4 linked regions of the Tamandua tetradactyla genome follow. The protein of the gene in region 1 binds, or shares a complex with, the protein of each later gene. Links are inferred from orthologs where the notes say so. Each region holds a gene or a part of one and is shown in the gene's direction. Other genes may lie near its edges.

Region 1 (7,608 bases):
CATTCATCCACATGTTATCCCAGACTAATCTTTTTAAACATTTTTATTGTCATCCTCCTTCCCAAAAATGTGCACTAGCTCTTCCCATTGCCTACAGAAGAAACTCCACATTCCTTAATATAATGTTGGAAAGAGCTTAGGCTTTGGAGTACGAAAGCTTGGGTTGCATTCCCAATCTGTCATTTACTTCTGACCTTGAATAAACTCACTAAATATTGATTCTCTGATCTATAAAATGGTAATGCTAACTAGTTACAAACAGTAAATTCATGTAAAAGTGCTCTGTATTTTTAAAGTGTTATAATGAATGTAACTTTTTCTCTCTTGCTAAAATTTAGAGATAGTTACTACACTGAAAAAAAATAGCCTCAGCTTTGGACTTGAAAAACAAAACAAACAAAACAACCAGATCTCATATTCCAGTTCCATCACTTATTATGTGTGAAACTTTGAACAAATTAGTCAACTTCTCTGAAATTGTTTCTCCACCATCAAAACATCTGTTTTGTAGAGGTATAGGAGAAATGAAATGAAATTTTGACTATGGACATTTCTAGCACAGTTTGTCATTCATAATAGCACTGATTTATTTTTTGTCCTAATTTACCTTTTCAGCATCTGATACCACTATAACGGTTCACGATCTATAAACAGAGCCACTCTAAGCAATACTTTTGTGTTTTTTCTTCAGCTGTATGCCCTTTTCTTCTATATCAAATTCTACTCCATTTTGAAGTCTCAGTTAAAATGTTGAGTCCTGCATATAGCCTTATGTAACTCACACTGTGTCAATCACCATTTCCTCTGCAAATCTTTAGCTTTTTTCTTTATAGCATTTAGTTTCAAGCTGGTTTATAGTCTGCTTTCCCTGAAAACAAGTAGAGTGTTGTGTTTATCTTATTTCTCCCTTACCATAGTTAGGATAGTAGAACTCAGTTATCGAATGAATATAGGAATCAGAGGCTGCCTATCTTCTTCCCATTGCCTAAAGGACATCCCTCCCTTAAATGCCTATTGTTGCTTCAAACCCAAACACGTACAAAAGGAGGCATGTTGTCTCCTCTAAACTGCTTCCTTTCAACTTGGCCGTTTTTGTCAGTGACACTACCCTAATCCTTAATTCCAGTCTCTGAGGCTAAAACTTTATAATTTTGTTTGACTAATCTGTTTCTTTCACTAAGGAAGAACCAAATTTGCAGGTTCTTCCATCTTTTTCTGTGAACTGGTTTTTTGTTTCACTCTATTATTCCTATGACTAATAATTATCAGTGTAATGATTATTTTTAACAACCACCATCATTTATTGAGCATTTAAGTTCTCAGTTACTTTGTATACATTATGTCATTTGATCTTTGAAACAACCCTGTGAAGCAGGTATTCTTATTCTTATTTTATAGGTGAGAAAAATCAAGACACAGACTAAATACTCTGCCCAAGGTTACATAGCTGGTTAAATGGTAGCTTAAATACAAATCTAAGGCTAAAGTCCTTGAATAAGTTGGTCTCTTTCAAGTTGCAGAAAACAAAACAGTGTTTAAGAAGGGTATTAAATTATAAAGACACACAGGAAATAAAGAAGCAAAGGAAACTGTTTCATAGAGGCCTACTGATTCTTTCAAAAGTGCATACATCAATACTCTAGCATTCCACTATTTTGTTGGGATATATGACAGAGGCATTTGCTCCCCTATACTTGAGAAGACAGCTTTTGTTCTAGCTTCTGTTGCCCTTGTTACAACTGATTTAGCTTCTCACTCCTCTCCCTCTATTTCTGGTTTCTATTGCCTCACGATTTCTGCTGCCTTTTATCTTTGGCTTTCACACTTCTAATAAACAAAAATAATGCTTTGCTTCAATTAGGGCCATCTCCTCACTGTTGCCAGAATAATTTGTCTCCACAACTTCGAATTGTTACTTTAAACACAAATACTTTTTTCCTTTCTCTCTACCTATCGAAAATTTACATTTCAAGGCTCCTTCAATACTTCTTCCCAAATGTTTCAATGCATACTTGAGTGACTACTATGAGAAAAGTCCCCTTGCTGACCCTTCATGAACCCACAGCATGAGGAATAAATAAATCTGTTGGGATGTGGGAGCTATTCCAAACTCATTCTTTATGGCTAGTGTTACCTCGATACCAAAACCAGAGAAAGACCAATATATTTTATGATATATATGCAAAAATCCTCAACAAAACACTAGCAAACTGAATCCAGTAATATATAAAGAAAATTATATTCTTTGACTAAGTGAGATTTATCCCAGGGATACAAGGTTGGTTTTACACTTGAAAATCATTTTAATGTAATACATTATATCAACAAAATAAAAAGCAAAAATCACAGTCATCTGAAGAGATGCATAAAAAGCAAGTTATTTAGCCCCTCGGAGTTACTTTCTTTATCTGTAAAACTGGAATTTAAACAGTCCCTATCAAGTAAGATTGCTGTGAGAATTAAATGAGATAATATGGGTACAAGTATTTAGCACAGTGCTAAGCACAAAAGAAGTATGTTATGCTTCAAATTACAAATATTACGGATCTACCATTGTCACTAATTTTAGCTGAAGACCTGGGCATCTAAGAAATAACACATTTTAAGATAACTATTTAAATCATCATAAAAAAATAATGCATTATGCTATCATGTTTCTGTTCATATCATGAATTTGGTGATACCATAAAAAAAATGTCCCATTTATGTGCACTATCTCTTAAACTCTTAAAGCTTATTAAGGAGATGTTATCCTTGTTCTCAAAAGCCTATAAATATCCCTATAAGTAAATACTTAAATATGGAATCCAGAGCAGCATATTTCCTGACATACCACATTGCTATTTATATTTAATAAAATTTTCTCTCAGCATATTATATAGGGTTTCTTCCTGGTTGAAACTGCCCCTTAACCGAGACCTGATAAAAGTGACAGTAAACCCTAACATTTATATAATGCTTATTACATATAGCATATATAATATATGCTATAATATATAAAGTAAAAAGTATTTCCACATACAGTCATACTTGACTGGAATCCTGTGAATTATATATCTCATTTTTTCTTGAAGAATATGAGGCCAAGAAAGTGACCTACCTAAAGTAACAAAAAGGCCGAGACGAACCTAGATTTCTTCTCTACATATTCCACGTTCATTATGGCTGTAGTAACAAACTACTACTGAAATAACAACTTAAAATGCATGCTCTATTGATCTACATAACATACGTCTCTAAGTCTACACAGCATAAGTGTTATATGAAAAGGCACTATTTTCTTTTTTAGGAGAGACAAAATATGGGCCAGTGACAATGATATCTCTGGGGACTGATAAAATTAATAAGTCCATGGTTTGTAAGATTAATATAAGGCCAAATTTAGATGACATAACTCTTTAAACGAATAGCAAACTAAATTACAAAAACCGTTTCGGGAAAACGTTACCTCTGAGCCAACATTTTCACATTCCTACTTTGAATTTTAAAATATTGTTAAATCAAAAAAATTTTGTTTTGACTAAACTTACTAGAACTGAAAAACAAGTGTTCACACTTAAAAAATGAAGGAACAGGCAAGTGTCCAGGAAAAAATGCTAAACGAAGAAATGATAAACGTAAGATCCCTTAGAGGTGCCACATCTAGAGTTTTCAGACAGAAACAAAACGTTTTTAAAAATATTCCAAATAACCAGCCGCCGCGCAGTATATATAAAACAACGTATTTGATGCACTAAATCGCCAAAACTGATTTAAATAGTACCTCATTTACATTATAGAAATTGCAATATTCCACTATTTATAATGTAGTCTCTTCGTTCAAATGACAGTACAATAAATTTGGTTTCTAAAAATAACACATTTTTTGTGAAGAACTCGACACCTGTAGAGATAAGCAAATATCAGAGTTGCTTAAGATACTCTTAACATACATTTTTTTCCCTCCAGAAGCCAGCGTGCAATACATTATGAAAAACGGCTATGTTGGAACGATGACTCGTACGCTAAGCATTTCCACTACAGTGGGTCTGACTTCTAGTTTCCAGTTTAGCCTCAAGTTGTGACTAGCCAAGCCTCCTCTCTGAATATCTCCTTTCCCATAAAACGAGAAAGTGGGTGGAAGACCATACAGCGCTTTGATTCGACTAACAACTATCAGACATTTTCAAAAGCTTTCCCTCGCACGGTGCAGGTACATGATGTTCAATCTATCCCACCTCCTCATACCGAGCCCAGGCCCCGTTCCTTTCCCCTTCAAGCTCAAACACGTCTCCTTAAAGAAAAGTAGAGAGTTCTTTTAACGAAATCTACAGCTCCTTTGTTCCCAAAGACGGCTGCGGCAGCGTTTCGAGGCCGCAGAAGGTTGAGAGAAGGCAGAGGCGAAGAGACTGAGTTTCCTCTCGCCCACCCACTCCAATTCCTGTCCAGTGCCCAACCCCGAAGAAAGCGCGTGCGCAGGTTCCCCGGTACCGCGATACGCGCGCGCCTGCCCAGCAGCGGACCCCACGAAGGGGCAGGATGCCCGGGCGCGTGCAAGGCCCGCAAGAAGCGGAAGCTGCTGGCAGCGAGAACAGGCGGTTCCCGCCGGCGCTGGTGGGGGAAGGGCGGCAGCTACACCCGGAAGTCGGTATGGGAGAGAGGGGGAAGCTGGTGTGGGCAGAGGCTTCCGGTGGTGCAAAGGGTGTCGGGAGCGGCTCCCAGCAAGCCTTCCTTGGCGTCTAGAGGGGCCGCCGTCGCTGCAGCTTGGGCTTCCAAGATCTTCGTTCGGGCTAAACGGTCACGGCGGCCGCCACTGAGATCCCCCCGTTCCTGACTTTGTCCGTATTCTTGTCGAGGCAGCCGCCTCAATTTCAGCAGCGGCCTCGGCCGACATGTTGTGAAAGCGGCGCCGGTATCTGAAGGATGGTTTGGCAGAGGCGGCAGCAACGGCTGCTGGCGGCGGCGGGGGCTCAGGCTCTGTAGAGCCGAGCCCGCTGGGTGTCCGCCCTGTACCGCGGCGAGGCCAGTGCCCCTGGATCTTGCCTCTACTCCGGCGCCGTTGGCGGCCGGCTGGTTAAGCGACAGCGCTCGCCCCTCCGAGGAGACACGGAGGTGGTTCCCCAGCCGTTCAAATTTCCGGACCACGCCGAGCTTTCCTTTCCCCGGCCCGGGCAGTGCTGCCTGCAGAATCTTCAGCCCCCCGACTTTCCTCCCAACCTCGCCCTAAATCTCACATACTCTGGTGTTCCCAACCCTCTCAAGCCAGCTCCTCTCCTTCCCTTCCTGCTTTTTGAACCCTGTTCTCCAAGCGCCCCTCGGGGTTACTCTCCAGGGCGGCCTTTTGAGAAATTCCGTGAAGTAGTGTACCGGAGCCGGGGAGTTGTTTTTAAAGTCGGGGCGCGAGAAATAGGAAGGTACGATGGCTTCTTCATCTGGCAATGATGATGATCTCACTATACCTCGAGCTGCTATCAATAAGATGATCAAAGAGACTCTTCCCAGTGTCCGGGTGGCCAACGATGCCCGGGAGCTGGTGGTGAACTGCTGCACTGAATTCATTCACCTTATATCTTCTGAAGCCAATGAGATTTGCAACAAATCGGAAAAGAAGACCATTTCACCAGAGCATGTCATACAAGGTAAGTCGCATGTGTGAGATTTGATTTAAATGAGGGTGGGGGTGGGGCGTGCAGTCTGCTAGTTGCATGGCCGGTTCGTGTCAAAGCCTTCCAGTCCTCTTCACCGGTAAATGAAAAAGCCACCGGGATATGAAAGCAGCTTGTGCCTTATGAAAATCTTGTTGTCTTGCGGTACTTTTCATCCAGCGAATACACGTAAAGATTGCAAGCAATTAGGCCATTTTAAAAGCCCCAAAAGATAAAGTATTAATAGTGGTCTGAATTTACAACCAGATAAGCTGAAGCAGCAAGAACTGCCTGCCCAAAGTTGAACGTAGGAAAATAACCCAGTAATTTTACCTTGGAAAGTTAAAATTCAGCCAGAGGAACTTAAAACATGAGTTAAAAACAGAGCTCATCTTTCACCCTTGTAGAGGGAGAGATTGATATTCTGAACACATAAATTTAAAAAATTATTAACACGAATATGTTCAATATTGTAAAGCTTATTGGTGTTGAAAAAAGGAAGGACTTATGTTTTCAACTTTAAAAATTGTTTGATGGTCCTACATTCATTGTTACCAAAGTACTTCTTACCAAAGTAAGAAAAGTGAGTGCTTTTTAATTTTTCTTTTTGTGTATATGTTTGTTTTTATGTAGCTTGCTTTGTTCACTGGAGATAGGTTTGAATGTAACGAAAAGCTTGTTTTGAAAGGTTATAAGAGATTTTTTTCGTGAAACATTTCACCGTCATTTCCTGCTGCCATTCCCTTTTAGATGTATAGGCTTACACTTTCATTGAACAGCATTTGTGAAAGTTTTGGGTTTCTTCTCTTTTATCTTGGAAGGCATCTAGTCCAGTAATAGGAATTTAGGGGAGCATATTTTGATGGTTTTGGACATCAGGAGGCATAATGTCGTAATGTTTTGGCAGGCACTTTCTGTAATGTTTACATCGTACTTCTATGCACAAAGTTGTTTTCAATTTAAGGTAATAACTTGCCCTTTGTAATAATTTAATTTAAATTCTGACAATCTCTTGCTTGCTTTTGAAGTTGGGGGGAAAAAGCCATGATTAATTTTAATCATTTTGTTAGGCAGATAGTTACCTACCATTTCATTTTTATAACTTAATTTCTTTTAATTAGAAAAGTTGTAGGTTTATAGAAAACTCATGCATAAAATACAATTCCCATATACTACCTTATTGTTAGCATCTTGTATAACTTAACTTTAAAAGGCAACTTTTCTGCTATACTAAAGTAGAGTACACATCTGCACATGTTCACCATTTACATTATTTTACCATCAATATTGATAAAAAGGATTAAATGATTCATTTTTTATCGTTAATGGTGTATTGAAGGTTGATTTGAAATATATCCTGCAATTCAAGTCCATACAGAAAAAAATCCCTAGGAAGAAGCATATTTGATTCTTTTTTTTTTTTTCGTATTTGATTCTTAAAGCTAATAGTTTTAGGTTTTTTCCTACTGTTTTGGTGTGCTGAATAGTCTAGCAAGTAAAAATGAAAGCCAAATTATCTATATTTTTACATTTTATGTGTGATGCTTCCATACAGTCTTTCACAAGGTTTATCTAACACAACCATAATTTCCTTTTGCAGTTCATAAAAAAGAAAAAGGATACTTTATCAACATTGCCTTTCTAATGAAAATTGAAAACGATTTCAGCAGAATCTGCCTAAATATTTGTTTACACTACAGAAGTGGGGATCATTCCAAAAATCTAACACACATTATAATCTTTCTTAGGGAGTTTATTCTATTCTAGGATATATTTAGATTTCTGATTGACACATTGGAATAAAAAGGCAGCTGTAGCAAACTGTATGCTAAATAGTTCAATTTTGAAATATGCTAAATTCAGTTTAATGCATGAGTTGGAAAATTACAGTGAAAAAGCATTTTCCTTTTTGTACTGAAATTAATTTGTTAATTAAAAAAATGAAGTATTGACCTGTTTTAGATTTACCAATTTACCATTTTTT
Region 2 (7,392 bases), on another chromosome or scaffold:
GTTAACAGATAGATATTGTCCTTTAGTATATTGATGTCCTGTATCCATGAACTTGCCAAATAAGCCTCATCATGTCCTCTTTGAGACATCAATAGCAGCTGAGCAGTACCCTCTCCTCTGAGGATTCCATAGGGCTATTCTTGTAAGCTCATAAATTTTAACAATTCCAAACTTTTCTTTTCGTTCTCCAAGCTCTATAGAGATTAACTGCTTCCTCTATGCTATTTTATTATTCTTTGTTTCCTTTTCAGTTAGTTGACTTATTCTAACTAATAAGTTTTATAATAAACTTTCTCCGTTCAAATAACAGATACGGTTTCTATTTCCTGACTGTCTTGGTATGGGGAATTTCAGTAAGCAAAACTTCAAAGATCGAATGTTGTGATTGGTTTAGTTGCTTCCATGGGCTTGACCACATGCTGAGTTCCTTGCTAATGGGAAGGAGAATGGAGATAATCCATTGAATAAGATGGCATCACAATTAGTCCATCATTACCTGTAACGTTTCTCCAATTTATTTGATAATAGAACCTCTCCTTAAAAGAACTATCTTCTGATTAGCATTCTGCAGAACAAATTGTGGAAAGTGCTGGCTTATACTACCCTATGCAATGAAACCTCCCTAAATACATCAAGCATGCTCAAGTTGCTGCTCATAATGTTTTCTGTAAATTGAGAATTCCTATTCATTGTTTGAGGCACAATCTGTTTTACCCTAATTGTTTATAGCTTTTCCTGACATCAAACACCAACCCCTTTCCCAATGGAATTAATTGGCTGTATTACTTTATACATACCCTAATACGGTCATTCTCACATTATATCATAGTCTTTTGTTTACATATCTGCCTATCTCACTAGAATTGGAACTCTTTGAGGCAAGGCTCTTGTCTGATTCATCTTTGCACCCCCCAATGCCTATGAGAAAGCCAGTCATACGGTGGATAGAATTAATTTGCAAGGACATCACTGAGGAGAATGGTTATGGGGGATAGCTAAATTTATTCAGTCAAGAAAAATTTGAGCACTTTGAATTTGCTTCCCTAGGTTTATGCTTCATTACTTAAAGCAAACTGTTTATAGTATTCTTTTTATGTATCAAAATTTTCACCCAAGAGTAGAAATTACTTCTCCCTCCCCCCATTTCACAAATCTGTTCACCTTAGGCAGGCAAATAAATTCAGTTCAACAAGCATATACCGAGCAACTGCTCTCTGCAAGGAACTATGGAAAGCCTTAGGTACAGGAACACGATACATATAAACACTCCTAGTCCAATCAGGAGATAGTCATGTATTCAAACAAATTTCTATGTTAATGTGGTAAATACGATAATAAGCACAAAATAAAATGATAAGTACATACAAACAAGTTGCAGGAATAGTTTAGCAGAGGAGACAATACACTCTTTATGAAGAGGGATATGAGGAAAGCCTTCCTAAAGAGGGTAATTTCTGGACTGGGGTTTGAAGATTTCTGAACTCCTATTTGAATAGGACGTTTCCAAATAGACAAAAGCAAAAGGCATGAATAAAGGCATGGAGGCAAGAAACAGCAGAATTTTGATGAAGTAACAGCAGACTGGGGAGTATTAAGTAACAAAGTTTGTAGCAAAAAACGAGGTAAGATATAGGCAACAGTCATATCATGAGAAGGGCCTTAGAGGCCATGCTAAAGGCACTGGGATTTACCCAGCAGGTGATGGGGAACCAGAGAAGGCAAATACCATTTGTTTTGCTTTTTCTGCATTAGGGAAAATCTGTTATCATCATTCATTCAACAAACATCTGTTAAAACACATTTAATAATTCAGGCATTTTACTAGGCACTGTTGTATTTAATAGAATTATGCCTTTAAAGCTTGTCATAAAAGACATTTTTGTTGATGAGGTAGTGTTTTATTTTCCTAGATGCCAAAACAAATATCATAAAATGGAGTGGCTTAAACAATGGGAATTTACTGGCTCAGGGTTTTGAAGGGAGGAGAAGCCTAAACTGAGGCTACAGCAAGGCAATGCTTTCTCCCTAAAGACTGTGGCATTCGGGGCTGATACCAGTGATCATTGGTCCTTGGCTTTTCCGCCACATGACAATGAAAATGACGATGTCTTTTCTTCTCCTCCAGTTTCTTTGACTTGTGATTGCTCTGTCCTGATTTCTACTTTGTGGACTTCTCTGTAAAGCCTCCAGTAGTAGGATTAAGACCCATCCTGATTCAGCGGGGCCACACCTTAACTGAAGTAACCTCATCAAATGGTCCTCTTTACAATGGGGTCATACCCACAGGAACGTATTAAGATTAAGACAAGTACATAGCCTAATTGTCATATATATATAATTTCTATCCTGCTCAATTGATTCTTGGCATAAACTTGCAGAATCATATTTATAACTCTGTAGCTAATGCCAAAATCAATATTTTTGAATCATTTCTGCCAAGCAGCAGATTTTTTAGTAAACCACGTCATAATCCATAGTTTTCTATAAATGGCAATTTTTTTCTTTATTCCTTTTCTAAATTGCATAGCTTTTATTTATTTATTTCTGTTATACATTAATATCTATCAATTTCTGCTTAAATTTAGGCAAAAGGAACCCACATCTTTTCAGTCTACAAACTCTTCTATTCAAAATGGAATTTCCTATTATAAAATAAAAAAAGAGAGAAAAAAAAAATTCCAAAATGCAGATAATAGGCTTCAGGAAGCAGTAGGAAAGGAAGAAGAAATAAGTCACAAAAGAATTAACAAATTCCAAATATTATGTAGGTAAACAATACAAGATACAAATGGACATCTAGATATCAAAAGAGAATTGCATTGAGAGATGAGATAGTATGAATCAAATGGCCATCAGTTAATTCTGTGGTAGAGAAACTTGAAACTTCAAAATCAGTTATGGCAAAGAGAAGAATGAGCAGCACTTGTTAAAGATGCGTGTTCACAAATGTCTTTCATACCAGTGTCCTGAATATTTGAAAAAATTCTTCACACCTAGATGACAGCAAATGATCTGATACTGCTTGCTAATCTACGTGATACTGGTTTGTAATTTGCCACAGAAACCAAACTTGTAGTTACTCAATCGCAAGTATTTTCCATTAAAAGTAGAATCAGAGGCTAACATTATAAAAAACTATAAATTTGGGGATAAGTGGTTTGAATGAGATTTGCTCAATTTAGGATTAGATATTGTGATATATTTTCTGGATGTCTCTAGACATAGGCTGGACTATCAGTTGTATATTTTGTCAGCTAATAAGGAAACAGACAAGATTTCTGAAGATCCTATAGAAGTCTGATGATTCCACAAATCCTTGGAAATGAAAACCTAAATAAGAGGCTCCCTAGAGATAGGTCAAAGGGTTTTTTTTTTAATCCCTACTGTCCTTATCCCAGTTTCTAGATACCTTATTTCTTCTCCTTTCATTCAGCCTACTCTAAAACTGAAGAATATACAATGTGCAAGTTTCCACCATTGTTTCCTTTACTGTAAATGGGTTAGAGTAGAATTAGGAGTTTAAAAAAATCCCCCTTTATCTCCAAACTGATAGATTTTTTTTTTTGGTGTTTTTGAATAGAACCTTACATAAAAATTCCTCTAAAATTTGTTTTTTTCAATTGGAGAACCAAAAATTTTTTTCTAAGTGTTAGCCTTTTTAAAAAAGATTAGAGTCCTTCAAACCTCATTGTAATAAAGCTATCTGATAAATTTTAATTTCTCCTTCTATTTTCAAAGATTGTACTGCGTGGAAATACTTGTAAGTTCATCCATTTGAAACAATTTTAGGGTTGAGCATCTCTACCGTATCACCCAGATAATAGCAACCGATGCCACGTTTTAAAACCTGAAAAATTATTCCGCAGATTTAAAGTCGTTAATGTCATTCCCTTGATAGTTACAGGCATAAAAGAACACTTTCATTGTTCGTGTAACCCGCACGAAAAATTATAGAGTTAATTTGTTGTAATTTTTAAACAGCTTGTGAAGATGAGAAAATTCTACCCTGAGCATGATTCCGTGAGAAAGACCGTTTCTCAAACTCCATCCCCGACCAGATACTTCTCCAGACTACAAACGCCACGTTAAAATGTCAACTTATTTTGGAGCTCAAATTCTAACAGTTAACAATTCTCCTTTTGCCAACACTCATAAACATGAATTAAGCTAGGTATTATGGTGCTAACCCTCGAAAGAACCACGGCTCCTACCGCCGTCCGACACACAGCAACCAGCCTCGCGCAGGTCAGCAACCGCCGGCTCCCAGCCGAGGAAGTAAGGCTACAGCGGCTGATCACGTGATTGGTGCCCGTACTTGTCAGTCACATTGAGAGGGTGGGGAGCCAAAAATCCCGAGCGAAAAGAGACGCGGTGGTTTACGTCATCGCAGAGCGACGAAAGCTGGAGAAGGAGGGGGATAGCTTGCGTACTTTGGTGGTGGTGGGGGCGGCCTGCGAAAGTGTCATGGCTGCTGCCGCGGAGCTTAGTCTCCCAAGCAGCGGTGACAGGAGCTTGGAGCAGAACTGCAGCCTCAGCCTCTCCCGCGAAGTGCTCTGCGAAATCTTTGGCTCTCTGTGCACCCTGGCTGGACAGGTAAGTGGCGGCCTGGGGGAACAGGGGTTTGGGGACCATCGTGCGCCCCCCCAACCCCTTTTTCCCTCTAGCGGAGGGCGGGGACCGCCGGGGCCTGCGGGCCTGTGGGGCTTGTGGGACTCTTGACAGGGTAGCGGATTCCTGGGGAGAAGCCCGAGTCCAGCCGCGTCCGGTCGGAGGGAGGAGAACGCAGCACAGGCTTAGTTTAGAACTGGTTGCAGATGGGATTTCCTGTTAACTGTGATCTCCAAAAGTGAGTGAGGATGCTGTATGAAAATCCAGCTCCAGGGAGGAGCTGGCTTGGCTTGGTCGGAGAGTAAAAATTCGGAAAAGCTGCTCTAAGTCTTTGGGAGACACCTGGCGCTCAGGTCCTCTTTTTCTCCAATTCATTTTTAGAAGTTGTTTGGTCATTGCGGCCTGAGATTCTGGAAACGCGCTCTCTTTGCCTTTATTGAGTGGTTTACTCTTATGAGTCACTTGGTTTTGTTATTTGCTTTTTCCTTCTGGCCGTCGTGTGCATCTCTTACCCTTTTGAACGAAGAGGAGAATAAAAGGAATAAATCTAAAGTACTTCTAGCGTAAAATTGGGTGGGTTGTCCATTATTGATGCTGTTTACATCAGACCTGTTGTTTAACTATTAATTAGTTTAACTGGCTGACAAATAGCTTTTGCATGAATGTCATGGTAAAAGTGGATTTGGAAAAACTGGGCTCTTCAAACTATTCGGATCAACTTGCTATTTGATTTCATTGTCTATCGTTCAAAGTAAATTTTAAATGAAAAACAACTTGAAAATGTTAGCCTGCTTTTTAAAAGGACATACTTTCTTTTATATCTTAGAATATTTTGTAGCTATAAAAATTTGTTCTGGGACTGGTACTAGTGCATATAGTGAATTAGACACCGCAGACATTTTTTTTTTGTTGAGGGAAATGGTGGATTTCTATAAAAATAGAGTGTGATTTGTGAAAATTATTTTTAAAAGCCTTAAGTATACGGAGAATAAATGTTTTAAAATGGTATTTCACTATTTAAAAAAATTCTAGTATGTATTTCATGACTTACAAAGTTAAACCTTCAGTTTGCTGTAATGGAACAATTTATTGATGGAATCTGCAAAAAGGCATAATGTAACTTTTAAACCCATTTGTTTGCCAAAAACTCACCGAAAAAAATGTTTTTAAAGACTTGGGACTTTTGATTAATTATTGTTAACATTGTAAATGCTTTAACAGTTAAGAGAACCTTTTATTTTTAAGATGTGGACATTGGAACTTTTTGGAAGTTTATTTACATTCTAATGTTAGGATGAAAAAAGTATGCTATCTTGTTATTACAGAAGATGTTTTTGTTTCAATGATGAATAGTTTTAAAAATTAACATTGAGACATGATTTAAACATTTCTTTTGAAATATTTTGCATACTGAATTTTTCAAACATTTAGAAATTTAAACATTCAGGTATTCTGTAGAGATAGGTAGAGATGTGATTAAAATATACTGTGTTACGTATTAAAAACGTTCAGAGTAAATATTTGGTGAATTTGCCTGACCCAGTGAAGGGATCTTCTATACAAGTGTCAGAAAATAAGATTGTCTGATCAGTTAAACTATACTTTGATAATTCTGTTTATATTTCGAGATGTATTGTCTAAAGATTAGAATAGAAACAGAGTACTATATTTATAAAAATCATGTTGAGGGAATAGCTATTTCAAACTTTTGCAACGTGTTTAGAGGATTTTTAAAATGTATGCCATATATGTCTTAAGTTCATTCTGTATAGTTGTTGTAGTATTAGTTTTCCTCAATGGGAAGCATAAAATTAAATGTTAAACAGTATTTTATACTCCTAGATTGCAAAATTTACGAATTTTAACCTTATTGCTTGCCTCTAAATGGCCCATTTTACCTCACTAAGGAATTATTTATTGTTAACTTAGATTTTCATATTAATTTTAATAAAGTTTTAACTGAAAATTCATATTTATATGGTCTATAGATTGATTTATTCTTACAAATTATATAGGATAAAATGTGTAGAAATTGTTTTACTAATAGAGGATTTGTTGAATGAATAATTGGATCTGTTGGGATAGTTTTAAAGTTAATATGTGACATTTGTATTTGGTTTTCCTAAAAGACCAAGTTCCTTAATTGCACTTGAAGGCTCATATAATTCGGTTGAATTGAAATGAGGATATGATTCAAACATTTAGATTTATTTTCTATATCTAGAAAATTTGATGCTTTGCTTTGGTTGAGGATTTGCCTGCTTTATCTTCAGCTGTTTTCAGAAATTTGCTATAATCAGCAATAGATATCTTCAAGGACTGTGAAAGTATAGGAATAGCTTAGTTCCAACATAACCAATTGCTATATAATGAAAGCTTTATAGACATCAAAATAATAAAAATTAGGGGGAATTCATCTTTGCCAGTGCAACCTACATAAAACTTCATTATTTGTTTACACTTGTCTAATACTGACTTGAGATTTTTCTGGTCTCATGTTCAAAGTGCAGTAAATTTCTGCCATGCAGTATTCATTCAGTCTAGTGCCTTTTTATTGGTAACTTTGGATATCTGGTTCCTTGTACAAGGAGGATTTATCTTTTTGTTATATACAGAACTTATAAAATCTGTTTGTGAACTCATGCAGCACTTACTTTATTTTGTAGAAAACATGACTGACTTTTTATCAAAGATTTTGGATAAATTAATATAATTAAGTTGTATGTACCGTATGTTGTATTTTTATAGTGTGCTGTAAAGACCTGCCCTAGAAAACCTTATGGG
Region 3 (7,324 bases), on another chromosome or scaffold:
ATCCTCTTAGCTCCAAACACACTCCTTATTTGCACTCTATTCTTCCCCTAACTGCTTCTGAGGCTGCTAGCACCGAGTGAGACTCGTCCTTCCCAGCTGGTCTCCGGGAACCCAGTCCCAGCAGCTCCCCGGACAAGGAGACCTACCTCTTGCAGACAGACTAAAACTCCTTGAACCTGAGCTCTGAATCTTTTAGTGTCTTAAATCTCAGTTTTCTCTACCTTGTAGATAGCACCCATAAATAGCATGTCCTTCAAAAGTGGTTGTTCTCGAGCACAACATAAACAAAAGATTGTTATTCAGTGAACCTGTGGGAAGCGGGAGGGGTGTGTTTCCTGGGCAGCATTGCAGAGAAACAGGAAATTCCCTGCACCCAATCAGAAACCACAAAAGGTACCCACCAAAACACAGCTGGCAGGAGCGGGCCATATAAAAACAGGAATACGCCCAAATCCACACACCAAATATGGACCCACAAAAAGTGCTCTCTCATCAGTTCATGCAAATGCTGACCGAGGCAGGCAGAGACGTGTCCCAACAAAAACGCGCAGAGGGGAGGATAAAACCACACAAGCTGTAGCTGCCGTACTTGATCTCTTTATTGTCGCCTCTGCCCTGGGGGAGCTCTGGTTTCTCCAGCGTCTTTCCCTTTTGGGGGGCCCCTCCCTGACTCTGCCTGTCCATTCCCTGTCTTTTGCTCCCATTTTGCCATTTTTGGGGGGTCTGGGGTGCCCCCTTGGTGGCCCTGAGAGCTTTGGTTAGGTGGGTGAGTTCTGGGGGTGGGGAGGGGGACAAGCCGGCCTGGGTCCTGCCCCCAGGCCCTAATTCCTCCGTGGTCTGGTCTCCGTAGTTCTGTCTCCGTTGCTGGTGTTGTGGGGTCCGTGCTCTGGTTTCACCTGGGGTGGGGGAGGGACGGGAAAGCACGTGGTAAAAGGGCCCGAGACTCAGGTTCTAATTCTGTCTTCCTTGCTCATTTGCTCTGTTGACTCCAGACACCTGCCCAGCTGTCTCTGGGCTTTCATTTCTCTAGTTGTAAACCAAATTTCCCTCCAATTGGAAAGGTTCTGTTTCCCTTTTCGTTCTGGCCGCTAGGAAATTCAGAGCCAAAGGTGTGTCTCCTCTTCCCGTGAGAGCCCAGGAGCGCTGCAGACCCCTCCTCCCCCAGGCCGGGACCAGGCGCCTGCTGGCTGCCTCTGGGAGGCAGAAGGAACCCCGCTGACTCCTCACCTCCAGCTCGGCCTCAGGGTCGGGCCCCTCGCTTTTTCCGCTCTGCATTCTGGAGCTTGGTCACCAGTTTCCTCTCGTGCCCGCCGGGGCTGGGGCGGTTGGTGTTGGCGGCCGCTTCCCTCTTGGTGCGTCCTTTCCGACCTCCCCCTCCTGGAAACCAAGGCAGGAGTCAGAGGCGAGGGGGGCTGAGGCAGCTGTGGGGTCTCAGGGGAGAGTGGGGACCCACTGAGTCCCCACTTTGTGGGGTGGGGGGCAGGTGCTCGGGCTGGATACAGAAGACGGGGGGCTGGTCACCACGAGCTGGGGACAGTCCCAGGCCCCTGTCAGCTTGTTTCCCTATCTTGGGAAACGTGGGGTGCTTGGCGGCTCTGTGGTTGCTCCAGTATTCTGTGTTGTGAGGCCCTGGAGTCCAGTGTATGGGGGATCAGGAGGGGGTGACTTGGGGGCCCCAGGCTGACCTGAGGGTCAAGGGATTAGGTTGGGTGGACAAGGGCAAGGGGTGGGGAGAAGCCCAAGGAGGGGACCTAGTTCAAGGAGGTCAGACCGTTTGCAGGGGGCCAGGGATGGAAGTGGAGGGGCAGGAAGATGGCGGGGCCGGGCCTTACCCAGGTGGAAGTGGCTCAGGCCGTAGAGGTCGTGCTCATCCAGGTGAGCCTCGTCCTCCTCAGGCCCCAGCGGCTGCTGGGATGGGCTGGCTGCTGGCGGGAAGGTGGCCGTCATGGCCTCTGACCCTCACCGTCCCTGTCTCCTCTCTCGTCCTCTTCTAGAGCTCTGTTTGTCTGTGTCTGGTTCCCCTCCCAGGCGCCTCTCCCCTCCCCGTTTATAAGGCCGTGTCTCTGCCTCAGCCTTGTCTGGCTGCCATCCCTCGGGCCCTGGCTGATGCAATCTGGCCCTTTCCCAGAACCTGGCCCAGTAAACACAAGTCACGAGAGTTGGGTCCGTAAGCCCTGGCCCCCCCCACCCTCTCCTCCACCGGGGCTCGCCCAGCTGGGTGTTTTTCCACAGAGGAGATCCCCGCCCCTCGGGGAGGAGGGGAAAGGGGGCAGGGTCTGGGCACAGACAGTCCTTGGAATCAGGGCCAGGGGGGCATGAGGGTCTCTCCCGTGCTGCCTCCTTCCTGTCTGCCGCCCCCTCTCTGCCCCTGTGCCCCTCCTGGCCTGGGGTCCGTGACCACATAGCTCACTCCACCCCTTTCCCCCCCATTCTGGCTTAGATTCAGGGCCTGAATAGCAGCACATGGAGTGGGGGTTATATCCAGATGCGCCCTTCCCAGTTCAATCCCACTTCCTTTGTGTTCCTACTGTGTGCTGGGTTCATGCCCCCAACCCCTTTTTTACTAGAAGTTCCTTAGGGCACTAGGTAAGTGCCCTCACCTGACAGTATGGCTTACAGATGGTTAAGTGTGCAGATCTTGGAGCCAGATGCCCTGGGTTCAAACTCCTGTTCCAATTCCACTACTTCCTGTGTGACCTTGGATAAGTCACTCAAACGCTCTGGGGCTGTTTCTCCTCTATAAATTGAGGTTGATAAAGAATTCTATCTACCACAAAAGTTGGTGTGCAGATTAAATGAACATATGGGAAGGAATTTAGAACAGTGCCTGGTGCAGTATGGAGGACTATATAAGGGTTAGTCACATAATTTCAAAACTAAAATCAACATAATACTCTAACTAGAACTCAAAGGAGAAAAAAAGGAAATTTATAATAAGATAATACGTATTCCAAAATATGGATATGACTGAGGTAGATATTGGTGTCTACTTATTATTAATTACATGAACTTAAGGAAAGAGTTTGGATAAGAAACATGTGAAAATAGAATATTCCACTCTTGCCTGAAAGTTCTGTATCTTGCTGACCCAGAGAAGGTGCAGCCTCAGTTGCCCACTCAGGTTTCCCCTGAGGCTGGTATACCAACTCCCAGCACCTGTCATCCAGGGGCAGGGAACTGGATGGACAGGAAATTCCATTTACTCCTTTTTAATTAAAAAAAAACAAAACCTCTGCAATCTCCAGTGAAACAGCCCTTCTCAGCCCAGGCCAGATGCTAGCCTGTGCACACACACCCACTTTGCTTTGAGCCTATCAAAAACCCTGTTCCATTTCAGTGTTAACCTAAACTGCCTCCTTCCCCTAAATCCTGTAATAACCCAGCCTCCTCCTCTGTTTAACAAGCAGCAACACTTCTGCTTGTGTTTCTCCCTTGCCTGAGCCAGAATTAAATTTAGCTCGTTTCCCAGATTTGGGTGATCTGTGAGTTTTTTAACACACGGGAAACGAAACTGCGGACGGGAGGACACAAGGGGAAAAAAACAGGGTTGGGATGACCATAAGGTCCCAGATGACAGGAAGAGGGAACTAACCCTAGTAAAGACAACACAAGCTAACGAGCCTTGATGTGGAGAAAATGAGAAAACGAGGTGTTCTTGCCAAGGGACGGGCTTTATCACTAGGTGTGGTAGCAGAACCCTCCCCTGTAACATGGAGTTAGGCTCTGCGTTTGGGAAATTACCAGCCTGTGTCTGCGTTTCACCTTCCTGAATGTCTAGCAGGGCAGGGCACCCCAGTGCGCTGTGGGGACTCTCCTGCTTGGCCCAGCCCTTTGAGCCTCTTGGACCCCACTTGCTAGAAGCTAGCGTGGTCTCCTGTCCCCGCGACAACCATGCCAACATGGTCAGTCGAGCAGGTGACACTGGCCCTGGTGAGGAGCGGGTCCACCAGGCCTGGCCGGATTCTGCCTGTGAGATCTCAGGCCCCCGTCTGCGTCCGTTCCCTCGCCTGGGATGTGACGAAAACAACAGCACCCACCGTGGGTGCCTTAGCCCTGAGCCAGGCACCAGCACTGCTATTACCCCCACTCTGCGAAGAAGGGAGACCCGGGCTCAGGGTGTGGGCTGCTCAGGGCTGCAGGGCTGGTGAGCGGGGAGTGGGGGTGGGGCCTCCTCGCAGTCTACCTGCCCCCCGCCCCCCCCCAGCGCTCTCTGGGGGTTGGCACTGCTGGACAAACGCTGGCAAAGCCCTGGCCCGCTGTGTGTGTGGAGGCACCTGGCAGGATCCCTTCCCTCCTCCACAAGCTGTCATTAAAGCCGGCCTTGGGCCAGGTCCTGTGCTGAGGGGCGGCCATGCCCTCCGGAAGCTCGGTGGGGTGGGGAGGTGGCCTCCAGCCCAGCAGGGCACACCCCTGTGGAAAACACCACACAGAGCCCCTGTGTGGGGCTCTATAAAGGTAGTCTTTATTCCATTAACCTGACTTGATGTGACTTTCGTCACAGCCTTCCGTGATTGCTGACTGAAGGTATCCTTTTTGTTTACTTCTCCATTATTTGTTTCCACTAGAATGCAACTGCTGGGTTTAGGTTAGTTAGCAGCTGAAGGAGTAGGCTCTGGAGCCGGAATCTCTGGGTCTAAAGCTTGGTTCTGCCACTTGTCAGTAGTGTTGCCTTAGACAAAGTTATTTGGTCTTTCTGTAACTCAGTTTCCTCATTTGTCAAAAGGGATCCATAATGGTATCTACCTCGTGGGGTTGGCTGTGAGGTTTAAAGACTAATTCTTAACAAAGGCTTACCACACGCCTAAGACATAGTAGACATTCAATAAATGTTAGCTACTGTTATCATTATTCATTAGAATAGGAATCTTGTCTGTCTTATAATGCATTATCGATGGCTGGCAAAGAGTCAGTGTCAGCTGAATACATGAAGTTATGCTGAGATCAGTATTGCTTGTTCAACTTTCAGATGCTCTGCTCTGCAGGAACTGCGAGGCCCAACCCTAGTCCCACAGAGCCCATGAAGACATTGTGACTGTCCTCCGTGGAGCCTGGGACTTGGCCCTGACCTTGCAGGTGCTGGAGGAGAGAACAGACTCTAGCATGGGAGTGGTTGGAGGAAGGGCAGCCAAGTGAGAAGGGAATCCATTCAAGACGGACCCTGTGGGGCCTAAGAGTGACTCAGTGGGAAAAGTCAAGATGTGTGTTTTCCCAGCCTCTCGCCTCCAGGTGTATATATAATTAGCTACCAGGAAGTTTATTTTTCTCTGCTTGTGACTGTACCTTTATGACATTCCATGTGGTTGCCAAGCACACCTATTATATAACCCATACTGGATTATAATATACTGAGCAAAAACACAGGGGGCTGGGAGAATTCCCTGGATGGATGTGGGGGGTGTGAAATCAGGGCAGACATCCTAGAGGTGGTGAAGCTTGAACAAGAATGGTGATTTGTGGGAAAGACTGCAAGAAATGCCCAACTCCAGGAGTTATACCACCCAAATCAAGAAAGTTGGATGGCCTGGCGGTATGTGGAAGTCACTAGCTCAGAGGATGTGAAGCTTCCCAGGCCAAAGGCAGGGTGTGCCATCAAGGTGGGTCAGTGCCACTGCTGTACACCAAGGGAATGTTTAAATAAGGTGAAACAGGATGTATCTGTCTGCCCTTCGGTCCTGGTCAGAGATGCCCTCAAACCCGGAAGCTGTGTTGGAATTTTTCTTAGTATGGTATCATCATTTTAAAAATAAATGGATGCAATCTTCCAATGGGCAGTATTGCTAAGAATGGTAAATGTACTACTGACTCCTTGATATTGGAGCCTGACTTCCAGGAGTCTTTTACAGAAAGACTTCCAGGTGAAATAAAGATGCAGGTACAAGGATGTTGACTGTAGCCTTGTTTGCAGTGGTGAAAAGCAGGAAGCAAAGTGTCCCAGTGGGGGACTCATCAGCCTCCTTCTGTGAAATACTCTGTAGCCATTAAAAATAAGCTCTCTCTCTAGCTCTGATGAGAAAGGGGTCCACAATACATTGTTAGGTTAAAAAAAAAGCCAGTTGTAGATATGCATGTATACTAGGATCCTACTTCTGTAAGAAAAATTATTTCAGTTATTGAAAACAAAAATGGGAAGTGGGATGTGTACCAAACTCTCCATAGTGGTTATATCCCAGGCTGAGATTATGGAAAGTTTTTACTTTCTCCATTATAGATTCTATACCTCTGCAATGTTTGAATTTTTCACAATGTATGCTTATTTTATAAGCGGGGGGGGGGGGGGAAGCAATTTCAAGAGTGAACTCAGGTTTTCCCCTTCCTGCCTTGGATTCATGCATACAATGCCACCTTCTGGTCATGATGTGGCTCCTTGTGTACCTGTTGGGACAAAACCCACTGAATCTGAGCATTTCCCATTTCCCTCCCTGCCTGCCAAGGGAAGTAAGGTCGTAAGGGAGAGTCTTTTTTTTTTTTTTTTTTTTAAACTGTGAAATGAAACATATATACAAAGAAAAGAAAGAAAAAGCAGTAATTTTCAAAGTACACTTGAACAAGTAGTTACAGAACAGATTTCAGAGTTTCTGATGAGTTACCATTCCATTATTTCAGATTTTTCCTTCTAGCTGTTCCAAAACATTGAAAACTGGAAGAAATTTCAGTACAGTGACTCAGCAGCCAAACTTGTTTGTTAAATCCTATTTTCTCTGTTACAATTCCTCCTTCTCCTCTGATCCTTCTCCCAATCTATAGGGATCTTTGGGCAATGCTTGTTCTGACTTTTTCACATTGAAAAGGGGTGTTGACACTAAAGGACAGGGGGATGTAATTAGTTGATAATCTTGGAGAGGCTGGTACCTCTGGGTTTTAGGATTTATCTGGCTTAGGAGCCTTCTGGATATTATAGGTACCAGGAAAGCAAACTTTGTGCCTGAAACTTTTATAGAGGCTCAGTTTGAGCCCTAGGTGTTCTTAAGAGTTAATAAGAGTGATGTTGGCTGGGGTTTAGCAAACCCTGGCAATCAGCACTACCAAACTGAAGCTTGCAAAAGAGTAGCCTCCGAATAGTCTGTTGTCTCCATCTGATATCTATTAGCCATTGACGCCTTATTTTATTACACTTTGTTTCCCCCTTTTGGTCAGGAAGGTGTTGTAGATCTCAGGGTGCCAGGGCAAGACATCCCCAGGAGTCATGCCCCACATTGTCAAGGAGACTTTTACCCCTGAATGTCATGTATGGGGGAGGGTAATGATTTTCCTTACAGAGCTGGGCTTAGAGAGAAAGCCACATCTGAGCAACAAAAGAGGTCTCCTGGAAGCAACTCTTTGGCCC
Region 4 (6,847 bases), on another chromosome or scaffold:
CTTCTGAACACTGACGTTTCAAAGAAGACACCGACAGTCCTTGTCTTCAAGAAGCTCTAACTAAGGAAAACACACATCCAAACAAATAACTCTAATACAATTATACAGTTTCAGCCTTGACCTCTCCCCTGAGCTCCAGTTATCATCTTCACTTAGATTGCAAAACACAGACCCAAACCAGAACTTTAAATTTGTCTTCCAAATCTGTTCTTCCTTCGACACTTCCTTAATCACTTATCACTATTACTACTGTTTAACTTCTCCACATCTGTCTTAAGCACACTGACCAAACTGACTTACAATCTAATGAAGGCCTATCAACATGTGAAAAAGTAAAATAATTTCCAGGTGCTTGAATGCTGTTTTAAAAGAACAGATCTCATTATTATTCGGGACTTTTTTTTTCCCCACAATGGCACAACATCGATGACTCATATTCAGTTGACTGACAATTCTGACTTTCAGATTTTCATATACACCCTAGCCAGTCTCAAAAAAGTTTCAGGTTAGGTGAGAAAGGTACAAAGAATTTCCTGTCTGACCCTATCTCCAGCTTGTGGAGTAGGTGGGAGTGGTTGTAAAGGTTTAGGTGGAATGTCTACATTAATAAATTATCTGTTAAACAACTGCTGAATAAAAGCACAATTTATGCTTTAAAGGGCAGTTTTTATGCTTCTATTGTCTATTTTCCATGCAGCTGCCAGAGTGATCCTTTTAAAACAAATGCGATCACTCCTTTGCTCTTAGCATTCCATGGCATTCAATCACATCCTGATAGAATCCAAAGTCCATTATAGCTTATCAGATGATATACAACTGGGCTCCTGTTTGTGTTTTTCACCTTATCTCTTTAATTTGCTATATGTTACATTACAGTCCCACTGATCTCCTTGCTGTTTATCTAACATGCCAAGCAAGTCTTCCTATCTCAGTGACATTACACTTGCTGTGTCTCTTCTCTGAGAATAGTTTCCCTCTAGAAATCCATATACCTCTCTGTCTCTCACTAAATGATTGGATTTCTGTTTATGTGCCACCTCCATTGAGAGGTCTTCTCTGTCTACTTTAGCTAAAAGAGCACCCCCACATATCACTTCTGATATTTTTTTCATAGGCTATCCAAAGTATACAATCAATGGCTCACAATAATATCACATAGTTGCATAGTCATCACCATGATAATTTTTAGAACATGTGAATCACTCCAGAAAAAGAAATAAAAAGGAAAAATAAAAAATCCATACATCCATACCCCTTACCCCTCTTCTCACTGACCACTAGTATTGCCATCTACCCAATTTTTTTTTACCCTTTATCTCTCTCCAATTATTTATATATTTTTTGCCCTAATTTTTTAACTCATCTGCCCATACCTTGGATAAAGGGAGCATCAGCCACTAGGTTTTCACACTCACATGGTCATGTTGTAAAAGCTATATAGTTAAACAATCATCTTCAAGAGTCAAGGTTAAACAATTAAAAATAAAAAATAAATGAAAAAAAAAGAGTCAAGGCTACTGGGTGTCTGATGCTACTTTTATGCAGGGTATGGACAGATGAGTAAAAAATATGGATAAAAAATAAACAAATAATAGGGGGAACAAAGGTTAAAATAAATTGAGTAGACTGAAATACTAGTAGTCAGTGAGAGGGAGGGGTAAGGGGAATGGTATGTATGAGTTTTTCTTTTTATTTCTTTTACTGGAGAGATGCAAATGTTCAAAAAGATGATCGTGGTGATGAACACACAACTATGCGATGATATTGTGAGCTATTGATTGTACACCATGTACAGGATCGTTTGTATGTTTGCTTGTTAAGGTTTACAATAAGAATCAAGGCTACTAGAATACAGTTCAACAGTTTCAGGAACTTCCCTCTAGCCATTTCAATATACCACAAACGAAAAAGGGACATCTGTATAATGCATAACAACAACCTTCAGGATAACCTCTTGACTCTGTTTGAAATCTCTCAGCCACTAAAATTTTATTTTGTCTCATTTCTCTCTTCCCCTTTTGGTCAAGAAGGCTTTCTCAATACCATGATGCCAAAGTTCCAGCTCTGGGAGACATGTCCCACCTTGCCAGGGAGACTTACACTCCTGAGAGTTATGTCCCACGTAGTGGGGAGGGCAGTAAGTTCTACCTGCCAAATTGGGTTAGAGAGAAAGGCCATATCTGAGCAACAGAAGAGGTTCTCTGGGGATGACTCTTAGGCATAATTATAACTAGGCTTATCTTTTTCTTTGCAAAATAAGTTTCATACGAGTAAGTCCCAAAAGCGAAGGATCAGCCTATTAAACTGGTTATCCCCAATGCTTGTGAGAATATAAGGAATTCCCCAGATGGGGAAGTTTAATATTCCTTCCTTTCTCCCAGTCCTCCAAGGGTACTTTGCAAATACTTTTTTATTCTCTGCCTAAATTATTCTGGGATGTATCAGGGCATCACAATAACCTGCACAAACACACAAAATCTCACACCCTATTCAAGATTCCATTTTCCATAGAATTTACTACTTACCTGGCATTACTTATTATTTGGCAACATACCACCTGTATTGCTTATTGTCAAATTCCCCCCACTACACTATGAGCTCCATAAGGCAGAAATTATTTTTTGTCCACTATTAAATTCCCAGCACCTAGAGCAGTGTCTGTTCACTAACTAATTTTTCAAAGGAATGAGTAATAGATTTTCAGGATACATAAAATGTAAAACTATCTATAATATATTTGTTGTCCTCATGAATAGGAAAATGTCTGGAACGGCGCATATCAAAATGTTAATTGTTTATGGAATGTGGTGGGAGCTGAGTTTTACATTGTTTTTGCTCATATGGTTTTTTTTTTAACAATACATTTATATAACTTATCTAAAAAAATCAATAAAGAGTTAGCACAAGCAGAAAGTATAAATGAATTTCTGAAAGAGGTAGGGACAATTTATCAAAGACAGAGTTGTAAACAGATGTAACAGCATAACGGTTACGAAAAACCAGGATTTGAGTCCCCTTCTCCAACACTTCCTAGCAGTGTGATTCCAAGTTATTTATATGGCCAGAGCCTCAATTTCTTCACCTGTAAGATGAGGGTAACAATAATGCTTAACTCATAAGATTGTTTTTGCAGATTAAATGAGACAATGTGTGTAAACTGCTCTGTACAATGCCTGGCATGCAATAAGCACTGGACAAATAGTAGCTATTATAATAATTAGTAGTAGTAACAAGAGATGTTGGGACATACCTAGCCCTCAAGATTGACATCACTGTAGACCACTGCATCTCTCATTGCGCCTCAATTTGGGCTTCTGACGCACAAAGGGCGGATGGTTCTTTCCAAGGAAGAGAATTTCGACGTTCCAGAAGCATCTGATTAAAATGTACCTTGTTCATCCTTTAAACCTTTGAGTCTGGTTAATCCATGAGCACCACTCCGAGACCTGAATTCCAGAGGTGGCCAGTGCTCGTCGTCCTTAGCCCCAGTCACTTAGCCTCAGTTTCCCTGGCTGCAACCGGAGTGGTAGGTGGGAATGCTAAAAACAAAACAGTACCGGCCCAGTCCACCTCGCCGCCCTGTGGAAGGGATCAAACGTCACCCGGCGATGGGAAGCCTGTAGCGACCGGCCAAGTGCCACGCGGCAGTCAGCGAACACTGGTCGGACTCAAAAGTCTAACAAGCTGCTCAACTCCATCCTTCCAGTCCTCAACTAGGGTGGCCGCGACTAGGCCGGCTAGGAAGCAAAAAGCTCCGTGGCGACCGCAGAAGGGGCGGAGGCGCCGGGGAGGAGCTGGGAGGCGGCGGCGGGCGGGCGGCACGCGGCGCACTCCCGTCGGCGCCGCCCGGGAGCGAGCACGCAGGCCGGGGGGCGTGCACGCGGACTGCGACTGCAGGGCGCAGAGGAGGGGGACGCAGAGAGGTGAGGCGCGATGCACCGTGGTGGGTCCAGCGGGCTGGCGGGCGCAAGCCCCTCTAGCTGAACGTGGAGGGGGTGCGGGCACAGCAAGGGCGGCGGGGGGGAAGGGGCCGGCCGACTGCGACGACGGCGCCCAGGAAGGTGCGCGGGTGAGTGGTTCGGAGCCACGCTGCGTGAGGGGGTGAGAGCGGTGCGGTCCCGGCCTGACTCATCGCGGCCCCGCCCCGCGCCTGGCGCTTCCCGCCCTCGGTTTTCCTGTCTCAGCAATGGAGCGCACAACGCTAATAATAGCAGTCACTGTGTGCTCTGTCCCTGATCCACGTTACCCCATCGGATTTTCAAGTAGGCCTCACAAGGTGATAGCTTAGCTCCAATTTGAAGCTGAGAACTGAGCGAGGCTCAGGTAAAATGATTTACCTAAGATCGTACAGTTAGTAAGGAAAAAGTGAGAATTTGAACCCATATCTGCAAAACTCCCATTCTTCACCCTTCCTCTCCACCACACTGAAGCTCGTCGCTTGTAGTTACCTTCCTGTCCTCAGAGAGATGTGTCAGAAATGTGGTATTTTGTGAGAAGCAAGCAAGCAGGAGAAGACAACTCTGCTTATTGCAGTACTTTATGATGTAGGGTGTGCAGAAAGCTCATGGTTTATCAGACTATTGCACGCATCCTTTACCTGACTGTTCTGTTAACTTCAGTTTAAAATGGCACGGCTGTTAATATCTGTAAGACGTTGTGCAAGGAACATCATCTTTGTTTCCTTTCCTTAGAAAAAGGAACGTGCCTTAGGAGGTTGCAGGATTCAAAGAGATAATCCACTTGCAGTGATACCAAGGTACATGGCATATGGGAAAAGCTCCGTAAATCTCAAGTTCTGTTTCATAACTGAGTGCATAAAACCCCTTGCTAAACTCATTTTTCTTCTAAGATCAGTTTTTCCTGGGACTATAGCAGAAGGAGGTGACCCCACCCCTCCCAAAATAAAAGTTTATTGACTGCTATGTTATCTGACTGTTGCCTACACGTTAATGAAGTCATCCCCAGGGTAGAAATACCAAGGTGAAAGAAATCACTCTAAGAACAAAAGATATGAATCGGCTTATTGTATACTAACATTTTCTTGTCCATTCCACATCCATTTATTTTCTTCAATGTGTGTGGCATGGTGCTTAGTACTTAAAGTTTGTACGTAGTATTACCACGTGTATGTTAGATTTAGTCCCTGCTTTAATTTCATACAGAAGTGGGAAAAAAAAAAAACAGATTCAGAAGTTATTGTCAGAAAGTAAAATGTGGAAAATGCCAGAAAAGCAATAGCATAAAGGCATGATGTTCCTTGATTCAGCAAGTGGAAAATGTGTTCATTTCTGCCTTTAAGGACTATAAGTTGAACATACCTATTAAATATTTGTTGAAAGAATAAATGAGTGAACAAATTAATGCTACATTAGTTAGGATTCCTTGGTTTGTAGTAAAAGAAACTCATTCAAATTCAAGTTTTATTGGAAAGGTAAGAGTGTTGAGGGAGTTGGGCTGCTCTCGGGATCTCAACAATGGGACCGAATTCTTTGACTGGTGAATGACTGATCTCCACCTGTCTTCAGTCCTTGCCTGTCTTACTCAAAATTCATATTTCTGTAAGAAGAGATCTGGTTGTTTTAGCTTGTTTAGGGAAGGTGGATGAAGTACTGTGATTGGCATCCCTACCAGAGTCAGATGTGGGGGCATCAGTTCTCCAAAGGGAAGAGAGCTAAAGGAGAGAAGTGACGTTTATTATAACTATGTAGCATTATAGGCCATGAATTGTCCTCGTTTTATATATGGATTTGACATTTGGTTATGATTTTTAACACCAATTCTAGGAGGTAGATACTATTGTATCACACACCATTTTCAGAAGAATAAAGGTTTATAGTTTAAAATAATTAGCTCAGCATTACAAAGCTACGATGTCATAGAGCTGAATACGCTGCATTATTTTCTCTTTATTTGTCCCTTTTGATTATATCCTTATCCATGTGCCACTTATGTTGGTTCATAGGTACTCATCAAACTTTGCTGTGTATGATCACAACAAGCTTTGTTGGCCAGATTGAGATCTTGAAGGAGCTCTACATTAAGGACGATCAAAGCAGCAGTCTCTGCCAATTGGAGAATGGACCGTTTGGGTTCCTTTAGCAGTAAGTACAATGAAACAAGTCCTAGATGAATATTTAACAGCATACTGAAGTGGAATTTGATCAAGGAAGAAAAGTGAACACTTTGAAGTTAAGCAGTAAAACTCTGTGAATCTGACCCTGAAGGAATTAAAATAGTATCAAATCAAGATAAAAAAACAACCAATTCTTATCAGTTGCCCAATGAATATATGCTATGAACATATCACTCTGGGTCTTGTAAGAAAACTACCCTGAGATACACCAGGCTTACTATCTATCCTGTTGTTAGATTTTAAAAAGCAGTGGGGTTTCTCTTTAGAACCAATAGCATGCTTCAGTTGCCAAGAGAAATAATATCAAAAAAAAAAAAGGAAAGAAAGAGAGAATGTCAGTGGTAGGAATAAAGGAAATGCCTGGGTGGCTACCCAGCCCTGCCTTTTTTTTGTGGAACTTGTGTTCTAAGAGTAAACCATGATTTAAAAAGAAACTGAACAGAGAATTGTGGTATATGTATGAAATAAATTCAGATAACCACAAGCTATGGAGAAAAAAAAACACTGCCGTTTCTGTGATTCTGACAATGAAAGGTTTGGCAGAAATAGCAGTACCGTTGTTGGATGATTAGTATTGTACCAACGAGAAGAATCGGAAGGCATTTTTTGGTTATATTTCTTCTTCAGTGATTTCTTAAAGAAGCTCCAAGTTTATTTTCTACCCGCATTCCCTTTATGGAATATTTATAAGTTTAGGGAAGAATGGAATCTTCA

What was found.
Region 2: DR1 (region 1) and MBIP share a complex: the UniProt entries of both Homo sapiens proteins name them as parts of the ADA2A-containing complex. The link is inferred for Tamandua tetradactyla from reciprocal best matches to the Homo sapiens genes DR1 and MBIP.
Region 3: DR1 (region 1) and SGF29 share a complex: the UniProt entries of both Homo sapiens proteins name them as parts of the ADA2A-containing complex. The link is inferred for Tamandua tetradactyla from reciprocal best matches to the Homo sapiens genes DR1 and SGF29.
Region 4: DR1 (region 1) and TADA2A share a complex: the UniProt entries of both Homo sapiens proteins name them as parts of the ADA2A-containing complex. The link is inferred for Tamandua tetradactyla from reciprocal best matches to the Homo sapiens genes DR1 and TADA2A.

What each region holds. Positions count from the first base shown.
Region 1 is NC_135337.1:30,527,738-30,535,345, reverse strand, and holds the start of DR1 (protein Dr1), read left to right. Parts: upstream 1-4,584; 5' UTR 4,585-5,398; coding exon 5,399-5,618; intron 5,619-7,608. UniProt on the Homo sapiens protein: The association of the DR1/DRAP1 heterodimer with TBP results in a functional repression of both activated and basal transcription of class II genes.
Region 2 is NC_135340.1:17,271,348-17,278,739, forward strand, and holds the start of MBIP (MAP3K12-binding inhibitory protein 1), read left to right. Parts: upstream 1-4,373; 5' UTR 4,374-4,464; coding exon 4,465-4,593; intron 4,594-7,392. UniProt on the Homo sapiens protein: Inhibits the MAP3K12 activity to induce the activation of the JNK/SAPK pathway. Component of the ATAC complex, a complex with histone acetyltransferase activity on histones H3 and H4.
Region 3 is NC_135349.1:24,815,732-24,823,055, reverse strand, and holds the start of SGF29 (SAGA-associated factor 29), read left to right. Parts: upstream 1-4,301; 5' UTR 4,302-4,524; intron 4,525-4,966; 5' UTR 4,967-5,073; intron 5,074-5,099; exon of another isoform or gene 5,100-5,594; intron 5,595-7,324. Other genes in the region: NUPR1 (nuclear protein 1), read right to left, coding at 1,241-1,377, 1,833-1,947. UniProt on the Homo sapiens protein: Chromatin reader component of some histone acetyltransferase (HAT) SAGA-type complexes like the TFTC-HAT, ATAC or STAGA complexes.
Region 4 is NC_135332.1:44,823,869-44,830,715, forward strand, and holds the start of TADA2A (transcriptional adapter 2-alpha), read left to right. Parts: upstream 1-3,842; 5' UTR 3,843-3,923; exon of another isoform or gene 3,924-3,943; intron 3,944-4,691; exon of another isoform or gene 4,692-4,756; intron 4,757-5,962; 5' UTR 5,963-6,076; coding exon 6,077-6,101; intron 6,102-6,847. Other genes in the region: ACACA (acetyl-CoA carboxylase 1), read right to left, coding at 3,251-3,288. UniProt on the Homo sapiens protein: Component of the ATAC complex, a complex with histone acetyltransferase activity on histones H3 and H4. Required for the function of some acidic activation domains, which activate transcription from a distant site. Binds double-stranded DNA.